3 linked regions of the Drosophila melanogaster genome follow. Changing the gene in region 1 together with any one later gene gives a genetic interaction. Each region holds a gene or a part of one and is shown in the gene's direction. Other genes may lie near its edges.

Region 1 (3,600 bases):
AAACCAGGCACCGAATCTCCAGCAGCGTCCCTCCAACGATTCCCTGGAGCACTCGAACAGCTCCACCAACTCCCTGGACAGCCCCTCCCAGGGCGGAGCCAGCACACACCACCGCTACTACCATGTGTTCCGCGAGGGCGAGCTGGACGCACTGATCAACCACCATGTGGCCAGCCTGCACATCGTTAGCTCCTACTACGAGCGGGCCAGCTGGTGTGTGGTGGCCGAGAAGGTTCAGGTGTGGACCATCTAAGCACCCAACTCTCAAACGGGGATTCGAAACGAAACTTAAGTTTATTTGCTATTACTGGGACCGAAGCATGTATACCAAATATTTAAAGGATATACGTTAAATTACTTTGAATTACATTTTTTTATACGCATCTAATACATTTTAAGTTGCTCTACAAAAACACTTGAATATCTTTTTAGGACATTCAAAATCCAAGCAGCTTTTTTGATTTTTTCAAGGCGTACCCGTTTACCCGTTTGAATCCCTGATCTAAAACAAATGCCCATTTCCTAGCTGTAGTCTCTGATCTGATGCCCCCAAAGGAATTGTTAAATTTAGTCTATTACTCTAGTCGGCTGGCGGTGCGGGGCGGGGAAGGCCCGTCCTGCTATCCAGCACTAATTTATTGTTAGCAGGCCTGCTCAAGGACGCGAACGCAGGATTGCACTGCATTGAAATCCAATTTCAAAGGAAAACTTAGCTGTAAGAACGAAACCAATCGAATCGAATGCGATAACGAAACAACGCAAGCTAAATACAAATCTTACTAGTTATACGAGCATATTCTATTTACAACGATCATCTGTTTGTATCTTGCGCTATCTGCAGACTAAGTTTCAAGCACTTTATGCTATAATTTCGAAGCGAATAATCATCAAACGTCCATTGCAGCCAACATATACCACTTATACAAGAGAAAATCAAGATACCAGTTAAGCAGCTAGAACAAAGTAATATAGCAACTATGTACGTGCATGTATACACTCCTTAAAACTGCAAAGTTAATAGAACCCTCTAAAAATATCAATAACTGCATTTAAATCTATGAGAAAACCGTACATATATCGAATGCAAAGTAAAATCAAAAATATATACACAAAACAGTTTAAGAAACTCTTTCCGCAAGCTCACAATTTTCCACATATATAAATTTTTCACCTTTTTAAAGCACTTTTTTATTTACTTTAATTGATTGGATAAAGTACCCAACTCACTTCCCAAAAACGGCCAATAAGACGATTGTAACATAAGCCTATGCCTAAACTCAAATTTTTGTCAGCTTAAGAAGGGTTATTTGAAAAATAACGCAAACATTTTCAATAAAACCAAATATATACATATATATACCTATATGCGACTGTACATGTGTTTTTTAGCTAGCTAAACTAACTTTATACCGTAAAATAATAGAACAATTGAATAAATATTAACTAACGTTGGACGCAACACTAAATTACAACAGATAGAACTCGATTTGAACCTATTACTGCTCGAAATGCTGAAACATTATAAACATTAAGTATTGCTGGAAAATATGTATAATTTGCACAGAGCCAAACAGGCACACTCAAACGGAATTAACTCAAAACCCAAGCTACAAAACCATCTGAAATATTTAATATTGATAATTTGTAATGCATTAACAACAACATTAAATAAACTAATAATACTTACTGAACTGAATCTGTTTTAAAAATCATTTATATTTCTAATTGGAACACTTAGACCATATAAAATAATAGCATCAAATGAGATAGAACGAAATGAAGGCCAAATATTTTTGGAATTTTTAAACGCTCCTGTGAGCGCGCGCATTTACTTGTGGCTTATGGTCACCCTAATGAATTCAGTACTAGTTGGTCTGATGCCATCACTATTTGAAAATAAGCGATATATCGATAGGATGTAATTGTTATCACTTATAAAAGCGTTTCGGTATTGTGAAAGAAATGGAAGGCGGTACACACACAATATAAACATCCAAATAACAGCCTGTAAGCCCTTAGAAAATTCCCATAAAAAAAGAAACAGTGCCCGTTTTGTAAAGCCAAACCATCCAAATTGTTGGAAGAGAAGGAAGTGAACGTCTCAGGAACTGAAAAAAACACCAAGGATAACGAACAAAGATGCCACTCAACCAATTGCCACTCCCCAAGCTCAACGAAAAGCTGCCCTATTTAGTTGCTGAAATGCAGTAAAAAACGCATAAACAACTGTTAAAACACCACAACAAGATGACCCAGAAGCCAGGCGAGTGGGCTAGCGCCCTTTTGGCACGTTTCGAGGATCAGGCAAGTGTTTTCCAATCGCTTTTCCGCAGTTGCGTTTTCGCAAGCGAAAAAATGTACCTGCTGCTCTGCCTCTTCCTCCCCCACACATGCTCACAGCGACCTTGCGAGTGTGCGTGCCTCACCCGCTCTGTCAGTGTGAGCTCTCAATCAAATGCGTGGGAGAGCGAGATAGCAACAATAACAAAAACACCGGTTCCCGCATGAATGAAGTGGAATTGAGCAATCAATGGTTTACTTTTTCAGCTGCCAAACAGAATCGGTGCCTATGGCACGCAGGCCAGGATGAGCCAGGACCAATTGGTGGCCTGTCTGATCCACATATCGCGCTACCGCTTCTCCCTTGTCATATCCGGTCTCACCAAGATGCTGCAGAGGGTCAATGAGGCGGTAAGTACTCCATTCTCTATTGTTAACCCTTAAACTATGTTGCCTTATTTTATGGGGCTAGGATACGATTAAATTACTTAAACAAAAATTTCATTGCAGGCCCTTCAAAATCGCCATGAGCCAGAGCGTTGCTACTTTGAGTCGCTGGTCATCATACTGACCACTCTGGAACGCTGTCTGACCAACCAGACCAAGGACACAGCACGTTTTGAAGAGGCCATGAATGTGAAGCTTCTGCTGCGCGAGATCTCCCAGTTTGTCGACGTCCAGAGCGACAGCAATCCGAATGCCGCCCAGCTCAAGGCCCTGGCATCCAAGGTGCTCTTTGCCTTGTCCCAGAATCACTTCTCGGCGGTGTTCAATCGCATATCGGCCAGGATTCAAGAGCTGACATCCTGTTCCGAGGAAAACCCGGACTACAACGACATAGAATTAATTCAACACATCGATATGGATATGATAAAGCTAACCAAGCTGCTACAAGGTAAACTAACTTTTTTAATATTTCGGAAAGGTTAAACAACGTTTTACGTTTCCAGAAACCATCACAAAGTTTCGATCGAAGCGTGCTCCACCTTTGATCTTGCTTTACTCGCTGGAGAAGGCTATTTGGAACTGGATCGAGTACCATCCACAAGAGTTCCAGGACTTGCAACGAGGAACCAATCGAGATATATCAACGTAAGAGGAATTACAAGCGTTTTTAAAGTCACATTAATTGATCCTGTTTCGTTTAGCTGCTGGGAACCCCTGATGGACTTTGTAGAGTACTTTAAAACCGAAAACAAGAAAAGCAAGACTCTTGTTTGGCCGCTTCAAATGCTCTTGCTGATATTGAATCCCTCTTGCCTTGAGGCTGTTGTTAACGAACTTCAGCAGTCGGAGAAAGAGAAGGAAAAGGACAAGGAA
Region 2 (3,830 bases), on another chromosome or scaffold:
CTACGCCAGGTCAACTGCTCCGAGAGGCAGCTGAAAGTGCTCTCTGGCCAGCAGGAGACGCTCTATTGGCGAAAAATCGAGCAGGATCGCGAGGCGAAACTCTCGAAAAAGGTGCGCGTGCAGCAAAAACGCGGTCGCGAGAAAGTGGGCAAAATGCTGGGCAAGCACATTAAGTTTGATGATGGCGATGATGAAGTGCAGGCGGCCGCCATGGACTGAGTCACTTTCAGTTGAGGGGTGAGTTTGGATTTCATTTCAGGAAACTCTATAATATAAGCTATATAAATTTATAAATGTAAGCAAAAGATACATTTAGATCTAGCACAAGATTTCGTAATATTAGAGTAATATTGTAAAAACAAATTGAATTTTTAAAAAAGAAACTTCCTAGTGAAATTGAAATAAATCTTCTGAATGAAACAAACCATTTATTTTTACAAATTTGTCTGATCTTACAGGAACGAGAAAGAGATGGTTATATTTTCTCTTTCACTTATTTATTGATACGATCAAAGAATTGTGCTAGATAAAAGATACAAAAAAGAACTTTTGGCATTATTAATAAAATACATTTCCTAATTAATTATGTACACGTTTTTGAGAAGATCTTGCTATTCCTAATGGTTGCATATTTGCATTCGTTATTATGTACACTGTAATGGAAAAGTTAGCTTATGACCTATTAACCCCTGTAAAACTAAACTATATGTAAAGTGAGCCATCCGCTGGCCCCAAATAATGCATCGAGATGAGCAGGACATCGATGATGGTCCAGACGCCGAGGCCGCCAAAGCTGAACAGCTTTCCAATCCCTTCCTGCCAGTGGCCCAAGTAGAATCGATCGGCTCCAAAGCCCCCTAGCGTGAGGCTAATCAGCAGGGCTGTGCTCCACCGATAGCCCTGCGTCCAGTTGCATCGCAGGTTGCGGGTAAAGGATCGATTGCCGAGGCAGAGCACATCATGGTGCACGGTGCAGTTGGTACGGAATAGCTTATCCGTCGCCGAGTTGCAACTGGAGCGCTGGCCACAGCTCTGTTGCCACATTTCCGTTTGGTAGCAGTATCGGCAATTCATTTGTCGCTGGAAACTCCGTTCGCCCAGGCACTGGACATTGTTGATCACCTCGCAGGTTACATTCAAGTCCCGGCCGTAGATGCATCCATGATTGTAGTTGCAACGGATGCAGGGAAACTGCAGGCGATCACAGGGCGTTTCCTTATCGTACGGGCATAGCATGTTGTTGTTCCCATTGCTGCTACTGCTACTGCTGCTGCTGCTGTAGGCGGTTATGTTGTCCAGGAGTCCACCGGCACCTCCTCCACTCTTGGCCACCATGCTGGACACCAGGGGCGGCACATACACCTCGTTATCGTTGGCATTTCCATTGCCATTGCTCGCATTGCTGTTATCCTTGTGATCGCCTTTTGAGTCCGATAAGTCCATCTGGTTGCCACCGCTGGCCGTTTCGCTGTTCCTGATCCCCGTCAGCACGAAGATCATGATCAGGACAATGGCCGATCGCATGTTGACCACAATGCACTGTCGTTGGAGCCTCATTTTGGTCAGATAGAGCGGGGAATACGCCGGAAATGTTATTGTTTTTCCCTTTAAGAAAATGAGTGGGGTGGGAGAGTGTGACCGTATACGCGTGGCATGAAAATATCAACCGCGAATGCTCAGGAGAAATTTCTTTAAAAAGCGTATCGAATAGTTTATAGATATGTTTTGGCTCAATTAAATTGGCTAAACAGATAAGTATACCTCTCCCCTCATCGTAACAAATTAGTAATATCTAATCCTAATATCCTTTCCATTTAAGTTGTGACCATTGGCCGCTTTAGTCGTAGGAGTGTATTAACGGTATTTGGTAATCGCGACATCTGGCCATACCGCACCGTCTGCGAAAAAAACCCAAAAGTCGCCGATTTTGGCTGATTATTGCAAAAATAATATTAACTATCCGTTTGCTGTTCGTGTGCTCGGTTCGGGTGTGTTAAAGTTAAGCGCAACGCGAGGAATTGGTGCAAATTTACCAGCGGCTGGACACACAAAACGAAACATTCGCACTTGGCCTCCCTTCGCACGCCCCCTCGCCGACGCCCCTCGCCCCTCACACCCTTCAGCCGTTCGTCGGACGCCGCTGTTCGTAGTGCGTTTTGTTGTTGTTTCCACTGGAACACTCTCTATTTGTATTGTTTCATTTATTAGTTTTTTTTTGTTGTTGTTATTGTTGTGTGCTTTAACTTATCGGTAACGGATAACGGTATCGAGAGATATATATTATATATAGTAAGATGTCGAAGAACAAGCTGAATCTGGTGCTGCCGCCGGTAAATACGGAGGCAACTGTTGCCGCCGCCACAGTGGCGCCGACGCCGCCATTCAAAACCCCCTCGGGCACAGAGTAAATATTATACATAATATCCTTAATAACTGACTGGTTTTTAGGCCACCCATTCCAATAACACCGCATCCCCCCTCCCTCGCTGTTTCCCCTTCCACTCCTCGTTTTCGGTTTCCTACTCAGTGGTAAGATAATCCTGTAGTTTTGCGAGTTAGGTGGGTAATTAATATCCATCAATTGATCCAAGGAAATCCCATCCAGCTGGAAAGAAAGAGACAGTCGGAGTGAAAGAGCAGGTACTCTCTCTTTGTTTGTTGGTGTGGGTGGTGCTCCTTTCGTGTGACGCACAGGTACACAGCGAGAAAAAACTTACTGAGTAAATACAGTAAACTGTTTTAGTGCTTTTTGGATTAATTAACGGGATGACAAAGTCAGTTTCGAAGATAAATAGAAATTATAATTTAATAGTCCTACCTTTATCGTATATTTTTTTGTGAGCACCAAAATGTAGGCAACATAACATAACACAATACATATGTAATTTGATGTGTATGTTTGTGTAGTTTTCTTATTATTAGGAGAAACTTCGGCCCGCCCCTCATCCCATCCCCCACTTTCAAATCCCATCCATTGCTTGCACTTTTTACATTTTCGTTTTGGATCGCAAAAATTCATTAAGAGGTTAAATTAAAGCACACACAGTTTGCTGGGGAAGCCCAAGACGAGCATCGATGCGCTGACAGAGACGCTGGAGGGTCTGGACATGGGCGACACGGAACGCAAGCGGATCAAGATGTTCCTCAGCCAGAAGGAGAAGATCGGCGAGCTGTCCGACGAGGATCTGGAGAAGCTGGGCGAGCTCGGATCGGGCAATGGCGGCGTGGTGATGAAGGTCCGGCACACGCACACACACCTGATCATGGCCAGGAAACTGATCCATCTGGAGGTGAAGCCGGCGATCAAGAAACAGATCCTGCGCGAACTGAAAGTCCTGCACGAATGTAATTTCCCGCACATTGTCGGTTTCTACGGCGCCTTCTACAGCGACGGCGAGATCAGTATCTGCATGGAGTATATGGACGGTGGATCACTTGACCTGATCCTCAAGCGGGCCGGTCGAATACCAGAGTCCATTCTCGGCAGGATCACGCTGGCGGTGCTCAAGGGCTTGAGCTATCTGCGCGACAATCACGCCATCATCCACCGTGACGTGAAGCCGAGCAATATCCTCGTCAATAGCAGCGGCGAGATCAAGATCTGTGATTTCGGCGTCTCCGGTCAACTGATCGACTCGATGGCCAACTCCTTTGTGGGCACCCGTAGCTATATGTCGGTAAGTAACTGGATAGCTAATCAAAATCTATACTTAGGTGTATTAAACAACGGAAGGTCGATGAAATCGGCGAAAGTATTTAAAAAAGAACATTGCAATAGCAAAACAAGGCACTCATCTATGCACAGATGTTAAATATAGCCAACTATAAGA
Region 3 (3,830 bases), on another chromosome or scaffold:
TATCAGCTAGGCTCGGTGGAAAAAAAGATTAGTTAGGGAAAAATTTTGCCACGACACGATTGCACATCCTTACATAGAAGTCGTGTGTAAGTTCCTGCAGTGCCTCATTCAATGAGTTCATCACCTGACCCAGGCCGTCGGTAGCCGCGATTATCTTCTGCACGCCCATGAAGTAGGAGGCCAATGGCAAGATTTCCCGCACCTGGTGTGTCAGCGAGCGATCGAGGTGCGTGTGTATGTCAAAGTCCGTGTCGTATTTGGCCAGGCCAACGGCAGAAATAATTGGCTTCTGAGGCACCAGGAGGCTTTCTCTTATGCCCGTGAGGCAGTGCAGCAGCTCGTCGAGCAGCATACTCTCCTGGCTGAGAAGCGGCATTGCCGCGATCTCTGCCCTCGGCACCTTGTCCCCGTCCACCTTGTAGTATTCCCACAGTAAATGGGTGCGGTACTCATCGGGCACATCAGTTAGCGTCACCAGGTCATTCGGCATTGACTTTGGGCTGTTGCCCGTTTTGTTGGTCACCGAGCGGTAGCCGCTCAAGGATTGATCGGAAACGGCATTAAGCACACGTTCCTTGATCTGTGTGGGTTGATCATTGATTATTTGAAGGGGCCAAGTAATTGGCAGCGAACAGCACACCATACTTAGTCTGCACTCACCACACTTAAGTCGTTGCGCTCATCCTTGCCCGCTCCACGGTTACGGTCCATTGGGCCGCGCCTGACAAAGACTACGGGTGTAGTGTCGGATTCAGTGGCCTTTTTGCAATTCACCGGCGTCGAGGTGGGAAAGTCCTGGGACTGGGTCAAGCTAAGCCTGGTGGAACCAGATACGTTTTGCGATGTGGTTAAGATTGTCGAGGTGCTTGCGATTGCCAATGTGGTGGGGACTGAACCGGCTGCGGAATTAACATCCGAAGTCTTGTTTCCGTGCGGCAAGCCCATCGCTGAAAGGCTAGTGGAACTGCTGCTCTCGGAGACTGGTTTGCATTCGCTGTATCGCTCGACGAACACCAGCAGTGCGTACATGGGATCCTTATTCTGCAGAATGTGCGAGATCTCCTTGGTCACCTCTGCGAAGTTGGGACGCTTCTCGCTGATGGACACCAGGACTTTGATCAGATCGCAGGCTGGCAGCCGCCGATCACTAGTGGCCCGAAACTCCCGAATGATGCTCTCCGGAGTTAGGGGCGATCTGTGGGATAAAAAATGACAGTAAACTATGGTGCCAATGGCGGGAAAGAGGCGGTGCAGGAGCAACGGCTAGATCGACTGGCCACCTGTGCACTCAATCCACTTACTGCGACTCGCTGATCAAATTGGCGAGCACACCGCGCAGCGCATGGGGTTTACTCATCACGGAGATGGCAATTTATAGTTCCGCGCTTCTCAATTTACAGTTATAACCGGCAATTGAGCTCTTTTTGAGTGCGCCGCTCTTCTCAATATTTTGTTGTTCTTTTCCGGGTTGCTTGAGTGCCGACTGCAGCGACAGGGTTGTCATCTGTCCTTGTAATGTTCTAGTTTTTTTTTCAATCCTTAGCCGTTTTAAAATCGCAGATGCTCATTTTATTTTACGCGCTTGCAGCAATTTCGGAATCAATTTAAACTGAAATGAGCAGCACAAGCAACTTGATGCAAATTGGCATTTGTTGGTATTTAATTGTGAGGATGTGGTGACACTGGTTGCTGGCGAAAAAGAGGGGTGCGTTTAGCATAGTTTACACTGGACTGGCCACTACTGTAACTTATTTGCGTTAAAGCGTGCAAAGCATTGAAAAAATACAAATTTTGTTAAATGAAAAAAGCTGTACATAAAAAATAAATAAGAAATACTTTCTACCCACAGATTAAATAATTGAAACTACTCCTCTATTATTTTATTCTATCTTAACTTTATATTCTTGTTTAATCAACAAAATTTATATCTGGCAACTGTTTTGATTTTAAATTGCAGGCAAGTGATAGTGTGAATGGCCCATAGAGCAGCGGACAGTGTGACCGTGCCATAAGGGTAAGTGTAAGACCGCACTGCTGAGCGCAGGCGCAGTCCAAATCAGCTGCTTTGCAGCGATTACAGTCGCGTCCCTGATCTTCTGCAGCCGAAATCCGTGGGCGTTGCACCAACACCACCAACGCACTGCACAAACCGCCCACCAAGGACACGGTAGCGACCGACCGGAAGCCGCAGAGCATACGAATCAACACTTCTGGCAAGAGGAAAGGAGCATGTTCCCCCACTTGAAGGGCCATGGTCAGCGGGTCAACCTGCAGTTGCTGCAGGAGGCCGCCTGCCGCGAGCTGCTGCAGCAGCTGGACCGCATTGAGGGTTCCAAGGTTATTGTGCTGGACGAGACCATGATCGGACCGCTGGACTTGGTTACCCGGCCAAAGTTATTCGCTGATCGAGGCATCCGTCTGCTGGCCCTCAAGCCGGAGCTTCATTTGCCGCGCGAGGTGGCCAATGTGGTGTACGTGATGCGCCCACGCGTGGCGCTGATGGAGCAGCTGGCCGCCCACGTGAAGGCAGGCGGAAGAGCGGCCGCTGGACGGCAGTACCACATCCTGTTCGCCCCGAGGCGGTCATGTCTGTGCGTCAGCCAACTGGAGGTCAGCGGCGTGTTGGGCAGCTTCGGAAACATCGAGGAACTGGCCTGGAACTATCTGCCGCTGGATGTCGACCTGGTATCGATGGAGATGCCCAATGCCTTCCGCGATGTGAGTGTGGACGGTGACACTAGCTCGCTGTATCAGGCGGCAGTGGGCCTAGTGCAGCTGCAGCGTCTATACGGTCGCATTCCGAAGATCTACGGAAAAGGAGAGTTTGCGCACAGGGTATGGGAGCACGCCAAGCAGCTGGGCCGGGATGAGCGGACTCTGTACAACGGCGACAAGGGTGTCGTCGATCAGTTGATCCTTCTGGACAGAAGCATCGATCTGCTCAGCCCGCTGGCCACACAACTCACCTACGAGGGGCTTATCGATGAGTTCTACGGCATCCGGCAGAACAAACTGACGCTGCCCGCCGAGAACTTTCCCTCTGACGGAGCCCTTCCCGGAGGCGGAGGCAGTGGCCCACGAGTCGAGGAATCGCAGTCGCTGCTGGGTGACACCGAGAAAAAGACCATCCTACTGCACTCCGGCGAGCAGTTGTACGCGGAGCTGCGGAACAAGCACTTCAACGAGGTCACCAAGCTGCTCGCTCGCAAGGCACGGGAAATTCACGTCCAGATGCACGCCACCTCCCAGGACAAGAGCGTGCAGGAGATCAAGAGCTTCGTCGAGAACCTCCTGCCGCAGCTAATGGCCCAGAAGAAGGCCACCTCTGAGCATACGGCCATCGCTGGCCTCCTGCACGAACAGGTGAACGCGGTGCGCTTCGCTGACGACCTGGCTGCCGAGCAGGAGTTCATGGTCTGCGCAGATATCGACAAGCCAAGCGCCTACATCGAGGACCTGATTGCCTGCAGGGTGGAGTTGAATCGCGTCCTGCGGCTCATCTGCATGCAGTGCCACGCCGCCTCCGGATTCAAGGAGAAGCTGCTTAACCACTACAAGCGCGAACTGGTCCATGTGTACGGTCTGGAAGTGCTGCTCACCATCAGCAACCTGGAGAAATCGGGCCTGCTCCATCTGCAAACAGAGTCGCGGGCTTACAGCGTTCTGCGAAAGGTGAGCGCCAATTCAGTAATCCAACCATATTTAGTTATAAGTTATATAGTTATTTGTGAGTGAATATATGAGGGAATGCTATTTAGGATGTTGCTACATCAAAACATCATTTTCTCTTGCAGACGCTGCACCTCACGGTGGACGACAACGTTGAAATT

The links.
Region 2: of Nf1 (region 1) and Dsor1, changing one suppresses a phenotype caused by changing the other (phenotypic suppression), as found in Drosophila melanogaster (one study listed by BioGRID).
Region 3: of Nf1 (region 1) and car, changing one suppresses a phenotype caused by changing the other (phenotypic suppression), as found in Drosophila melanogaster (one study listed by BioGRID).

Annotation. Positions count from the first base shown.
Region 1 is NT_033777.3:25,981,045-25,984,644, forward strand, and holds the start of Nf1 (neurofibromin 1), read left to right. Parts: upstream 1-1,968; 5' UTR 1,969-2,247; coding exon 2,248-2,304; intron 2,305-2,547; coding exon 2,548-2,691; intron 2,692-2,790; coding exon 2,791-3,175; intron 3,176-3,230; coding exon 3,231-3,372; intron 3,373-3,428; coding exon 3,429-3,600. Other genes in the region: fid (fire dancer), read left to right, coding at 1-253.
Region 2 is NC_004354.4:9,245,505-9,249,334, forward strand, and holds the start of Dsor1 (downstream of raf1), read left to right. Parts: upstream 1-1,837; 5' UTR 1,838-2,294; coding exon 2,295-2,404; intron 2,405-3,037; coding exon 3,038-3,677; intron 3,678-3,830. Other genes in the region: Larp7 (La related protein 7), read left to right, coding at 1-219; amx (almondex), read right to left, coding at 703-1,557. UniProt on the Drosophila melanogaster protein: Required downstream of Raf in the sevenless (sev), torso (tor), and Drosophila EGF receptor homolog (DER) signal transduction pathways.
Region 3 is NC_004354.4:19,564,113-19,567,942, forward strand, and holds the start of car (carnation), read left to right. Parts: upstream 1-1,906; 5' UTR 1,907-2,014; intron 2,015-2,070; exon of another isoform or gene 2,071-2,102; 5' UTR 2,103-2,229; coding exon 2,230-3,672; intron 3,673-3,794; coding exon 3,795-3,830. Other genes in the region: Grip84 (Gamma-tubulin ring protein 84), read right to left, coding at 1-6, 74-580, 661-1,195, 1,302-1,357. UniProt on the Drosophila melanogaster protein: Core component of the class C core vacuole/endosome tethering (CORVET) and the homotypic fusion and vacuole protein sorting (HOPS) tethering complexes involved in endo-lysosomal vesicle trafficking and lysosome biogenesis.